Tribolium castaneum: one gene and its partner. The protein of the gene in region 1 interacts with the protein of each later gene in a biochemical or structural test. Links are inferred from orthologs where the notes say so. Each region holds a gene or a part of one and is shown in the gene's direction. Other genes may lie near its edges. The genes, in order: Arl2 and PrBP.

The links.
Region 2: the proteins of Arl2 (region 1) and PrBP are reported together in a solved structure, tested with the Homo sapiens proteins (2 studies listed by BioGRID and IntAct, with this or other methods). The link is inferred for Tribolium castaneum from reciprocal best matches to the Homo sapiens genes ARL2 and PDE6D.

The regions. Positions count from the first base shown.
Region 1 is NC_087396.1:14,850,427-14,853,591, forward strand, and holds Arl2 (ADP-ribosylation factor-like protein 2), read left to right. Parts: upstream 1-1,703; 5' UTR 1,704-1,800; coding exon 1,801-1,865; intron 1,866-1,951; coding exon 1,952-2,062; intron 2,063-2,109; coding exon 2,110-2,272; intron 2,273-2,317; coding exon 2,318-2,533; 3' UTR 2,534-2,595; downstream 2,596-3,165. Other genes in the region: uncharacterized protein LOC103313727, read right to left, coding at 1-42, 96-209, 260-359; protein mothers against dpp, read right to left, coding at 2,596-3,165. UniProt on the Homo sapiens protein: Small GTP-binding protein which cycles between an inactive GDP-bound and an active GTP-bound form, and the rate of cycling is regulated by guanine nucleotide exchange factors (GEF) and GTPase-activating proteins (GAP).
Region 2 is NC_087401.1:12,577,005-12,579,858, forward strand, and holds PrBP (retinal rod rhodopsin-sensitive cGMP 3',5'-cyclic phosphodiesterase subunit delta), read left to right. Parts: upstream 1-1,325; 5' UTR 1,326-1,437; coding exon 1,438-1,484; intron 1,485-1,529; coding exon 1,530-1,713; intron 1,714-1,756; coding exon 1,757-1,893; intron 1,894-1,943; coding exon 1,944-2,025; 3' UTR 2,026-2,125; downstream 2,126-2,854. UniProt on the Homo sapiens protein: Promotes the release of prenylated target proteins from cellular membranes. Modulates the activity of prenylated or palmitoylated Ras family members by regulating their subcellular location.

The DNA.
Region 1 (3,165 bases):
GAGGACAGTCCACGAAAGCTCCGCACTTGACGGGCAGCACGTCTGCAACATTTCCATTTGTTCGCACCTGGTCCACCTACACCCACTACACTTACCAAAAAATCTGGCACATCCGCAACAATAGCCGTGAATGATGGCCGGGTCGTCGTCACAGTAATGCGGAGGACATCCAGTGCAGCGTGGGCCCAGGCCCAAAAATGGGATGTGGACTGAAATTGAGAATATCAATCATCGAGGATTCTGTCCGAATGAGATTTACTTCTTCGCGATGAGCGTGAAATTGGAGCGTTGGCTAACGCCACACTTAGGATAAAACAGCTGGTTAAGATAAAAGCAAATATTTTTGTGAGGGTGGCCATTGTTGGACTAGATGGGCGACTTGTCTGGATGCAGTTTTAAATGGGTGTGTTATCGAAAAAGTTGTTAAAAATGCATCTAGATAGTGGCTATGGTCTTTAGTAATGGAATTTTTTACGAAGTGGAGGAGATTAGGTAGACGAGTTAATTGGGTAATAGGTAGTTGTTTGTTAAAACTATGGGATTGTTATTCAAAATCCAGCAATTACAAGAGACTAGTTAAAGCACTTAGTTTAATTTAAAACCGAGTTTGAAACCTATACAAAACATCTACGAAAATTATTGTCTTATTTTCACTAAAAGTAAATAAAACAAAGTTTAAAAAACCCGACACACCAAACCTTTATTTAAAAACACTAAAAGTAGGTAATTTACAAAATTACTTTTTTGTTTCTTATCTTTTCAGGAAAATATTTTGCTAATCAATCAAGAATCACATTTTTGTATTGTTTTATTATTCAAGATTGAGTACTTAATCAGTCAAATAATAATTGTGTAATCTGCTCAAGATACTTTCAGTACATCAGCATTATCTGCAGGGGCGGGTTTAGATTCGTTTACTGGATAATCCTAAAAATACAGTTATGGAATAAATGAAATTTCCAACAATAATTTTAGATAATAGTATTTTGCGAAATCATTTTTTGAAGCAAGTATACATATCTAACATAAAAATTTAGCTCTTTTGACAACAATTAGTTTAAGCAACCTATAGTTTAAGCACGATCATAGCTAAGAAGCTGTTAGACTTCGTTTAAATAAAAGAGTCAATCAAAATTGAAACACATGATTCAGAAAAAAAAACACTTCAGGCTTTTATAAAACAAATTGCATCATACGAATGAATGTTCGAGATTTGATTATTTACAAAATTTATAAAGATAACAAATCGTGGTAAAAAAATTAAGCGACTTTTGTTCATTATACGAATTAGTCGTATTATGTAAATATTTTGATCTATTACCACCAGGTAATTTTTTTTAAAACAAAATAGTTTTGCCTGATAAACGAGCCAATTTTTTGCTCAAAGTACCTACAGTGTATGCACAACGTCCACGCAGGATGGCTTTCAAAAATGATAGAAAGAAGCACATTTTTGTATTTTTTAATGATTGTATTACAAGTTTATTTGTTTATCTTTTTTGAAAAGGTTTTAATATCAAATCATTTTTATTATTCTTTTTTTTAACAAAGAGTCACTTCGAATTATGATTGGTGTTTTTTCTTGTTCGCTTCAGATGTGGCAACTTTTTTGCGAATAAACGGGGTTTTACTGTAGTTGAACAACAAACTTATGTAGGCAATCACCAAAACTCGTGTGTAAAATTACAACATACGTTCTGGCGGTAATGTGACGTTTCTGTCAGATGTCGAAAATCTCAAACGTCATAAAATAATAAGTCTTCGAATTTTTTTATTGTGTCTAATAATTTTTAATACAAAATGGGTTTTCTCACAGTTTTAAAGAAAATGAAGCAAAAAGAAAAAGAAATGCGAATTTTGATGCTGTATCCTTTTATCGTCCAGATCTAACCTCAAAAAACTCATTTTTTGTGCAAAACATCTCACTGTTTTTCTTAATTTTATAATTTAGAGGCTTAGATAACGCTGGGAAAACGACAATTTTGAAAAGGTTTAACGGGGAACCAATTGATACGATTTCACCTACTTTGGGGTTCAATATCAAAACCTTGGAACACAGAGGGTAGGTCTGCTATTCACACTCCGAATTTTCAAAATAAAGTGTTTTAGTTTTACTTTAAATTTGTGGGATGTCGGGGGTCAGAAATCACTACGCTCCTACTGGAGAAATTACTTTGAATGCACAGATGGTCTTATTTGGGTGGTGGACAGTGCTGATAAAAGACGTCTTGAGGACTGTAAAGCTGAGTTACACACTTTACTTCAAGAAGAGGTACATAAATTTGTATGAAACATGTTCGTACTACTTTTTTTTCAGAGATTAGCTGGCGCGACTCTTCTAGTTTTTGCAAACAAACAAGACCTTCCAGGGGCTTGCACCCCTGAAGAGTTGCGTGAAATTCTCGGACTGGATCAAATCAAAACCCACCATTGGCAAATAGCGAGATGTAGCGCTGTTACGGGCGAAAATCTTTTGAAAGGAATGGATTGGTTAATTGACGATATTGCAGCAAGAATTTTCACTTTGGATTAATTTATTCTGTATCAAAATATTTATCTTTTGTACAATATATTTAATAAAAAAGACATAAAATATTAATAGTGTAGTTTGTATGGCGCCCCCATTTGCGTCAAAGTCCTTTGGGTCCACTCCAGATGTCGCAGAAAGCGCACTTCAAGCCAACAAGGCTTCTCAGTAATCCCCCCAACTTCGTTACCCCAACCCTCCACAAAACTGATTCGAACGGTGCACACTTTAGCTAAGCTGTAAACAGCCTCCCAACCCTTTGCCACCTCCGCAGATAACATTTCGTGAAATTCGTCATCACGGAACAGTTTCATGTGTCTGCACCGAAACGGCGACAACTTACAAATAGTACCACCCGGGTAGTTTTTAAGCCGATTGTAAAACCGCGAATTGACGTAGAGATCCGAATCGGACCACAACTGCACGTAAATCTGCCCCTTAACATAGTGCAGAGTAATCCCTCTCCCAATCTGCTGCCTTGTATTTTTCACCGTCCACTCGCGTCCCGCATTTTCCTTCTCGAACAAATTAAACCTGTCGTTTCGCTGCGGTCCTCCTTGTAAGCAATGCACCCAAGCGGAGAGTCCTTGGCAAGGAAACGCGTCCCCAATTCGCGACCCCTTCTCGTAGTAATAAAT
Region 2 (2,854 bases), on another chromosome or scaffold:
AAAAAAATCATGTTTGAGCAAACACCCCTTGGGATCTTCATGAATTTTTAAAGATTCTTTAAGATTTCTCGATTTCGCAAAGTTTATTTTTTTCATCCTTTACATATCCTTCAATTTTTTTTATTTGTGCAGGAGATTAAGCCCTTTGATAGGGCCTTCGACTGTAAAAAAATCATTTTCCGACAAACATCCCTTGGGACCTTAATGAATTTTTTAAAATTCTTTAAGATTTCCCGATTTCTCAAACTTTATTTTTTTCACTCTCTTTATATCCTTAAATTTTTCTTATTTTTGCAGAAGAGTAAGCCCTTTGATATGGCTTTCGACTGTAAAACAAATCATTTTCGGACAAACACCCCTTGGGACTTTAATGAATTTTTAAATTTTTTTATGATTTCCCGATTTCGCAAACTTAATTTTTTTCACTTTCTTTATACCCTTCAATATTTTTTATTTTTGCAGGAGATTAAGCCCTTTGATAGAGCCTTCGACTGTAAAAAAATCATGTTCCGACAATCACCCTTTGGGACTTTAATGAATTTTTAAAGATTCTTTAAGATTTTCCGATTTCTCAAACTTTATTTTTTTCACCCTCTTTATATCCTTCAATTTTTCTTATTTTTGCAGGAGAGTAAGCCCTTTGATATGGCTTTTGACTGTAAAACAAATCATTTTCGGACAAACACCCCTTGGGACTTTAATGAATTTTTATTTTTTTTTTATGATTTCCCGATTTCGCAAACTTAATTTTTTTTCACCCCCTTTGTACCCTTCAATATTTTTTATTTTTGCAGGAGATTAAGCCCTTTGATAGAGCCTTCGACTGTGAAAAAATCATGTTCGGACAAATACTCCTTGGGACCTTTATGAATTTTTGAAAATTCTTTAAGATTTTCCGATTTCGCAAACTTTATTTTTTTCACTCTCTTTATATCCTTCAATTTTTTTATTTTTGCAGGAGATTAAGCCCTTTGATAGGGCCTTTGACTGTGAAAAAATCATGTTCGGACAAACACCCATTGGGACCTTAATGAATTTTTAAAGATTCTTTAAGATTTCCCGATTTTGCAAACTTTATTTTTTTTACCCTTTTTATATCCTTCATTTTTTTTTATTTTTGCAGGATATTATGCTCTTCGATAGGGCATTCGACTGTGTTTTTTTTTCTTCTTTAATTCATTGCCCAGTTTTTTTGTATGTCGTTTCATATTCTAATCTTTAGTAATGCGTAAAATAAAAAAAACATTATTATCATTAATTTAGCACTTTTTTCAAATTGAATTAATAATAGTTACGGAAAAATTCGAAAAAGTAGAGGACGCGCTGATCGTGTCATCACTGTCAGCTGTCAAAACTTTGCTTTTTTGAGGTTAGTTTCTATGTTTGCCTCAAAATCGCATCCAAACAACGAATTCGCCCCTTGCCTTCTTCGGGAGAATGTCCGAGAGCACTCGCGCCGAAGAGATACTTAAGGGTTTTCAAGTGTGAGTATCGTTTTTTTTTGGGGGCAAATTTGAAAAATCGCGTAGGAATTGGGTTTGTTTGCGTGACGCCGACGGTGGGACCGTTTTCTGGCAAGGTTGCGAGGACTTGAGCTTTCCGGACGTGGAACATGAAGCTCACGTACCTAAAAACATCCTCAAATGTCGTGCAGTATCTCGAGAGTTTAATTTTAGTTCCAAAGAACAAATCGAAAAATTTCGTCTGGAGCAGGTAACATGTGCAAAATAGCGGTGTTTTATTGGCTTGTGTGCAGAAAGTATTGTTTAAGGGACGGTGTCTTGAAGAGTGGTACTTCGAATTTGGTTTTGTTATGCCAGAATCGACAAATACATGGCAATCGATCATGGAGGCAGCACCTGAGTCTGAAATGATGCCCGCGTCCGTCCTCAAGTATAAATTGCCGCAAATCAATCGAGTTTAATCAATAATTTCATTTCCAGCGGCAATGTTGTCATTGAAACGAAATTCTATGACGACGACTTGCTAATTTCCACATCGAGAGTGCGTTTATTCTACGTTTGAATCAAAAGACACCAACGGGGCCACTGTTGCGTTTTGTTACCTTTGTGTGTGATAATAACAATGTGTGCATTTACTTTATTAAATTTTTCAATAATAAAAATTGTTTTATTTCGCAAACCCTAACACCAGCAATAATGGGAACACAGAGTATATAATTTTATATACTCTGTATAATGGGAGATTGTCCGGTAACAGTATCGGTAATGTAGAGCGCTGCAAGCGTGACGTCACTCAGTATGCTGTTTTAGCCGTCTAACAAGTTACGAACATAAAAATAATGAAATATGCTCGTATACAGACACAAAAATTCATTTATTACTCATTAAAAAATGGTTTTTTATTGCTACATTTTGTAATCATACTGACATTTGTCAGTCTTAATTTTTTTAAATAACCGACATTTATGTTGAATGTCTTATCTTACTTGTAATTAGAAAAAAAATGAAATTAGAAATTAAAAAAATAAATCTAGTAATAAAAATAAAAAAATACTGACAGTTAATGATAATTGGCTTTATCTTTTTGTTTTTTATTTATTTTATTTTCGGTACTAAACATTTATATTTACAAGATTTAACAGTTAATACATTTTTTACAGAACGTTTGTAAAACACTATAATATCTTTCTCATATTTCTTAATACAGACAAGAACTCTATTAGCTTTTGCGATAGCATTTTCATTGTGATAGTTGAATAAGAATTTATTATCATAAAAAAATGCATCAAGATTTTTTACTACTAAATTATTATTATTATTATTGGCAACACTTTCGAATTAAGTTTGTAATTTGGAGTTGAAGGTACTATTTTTTCACGAAGGTCATCATT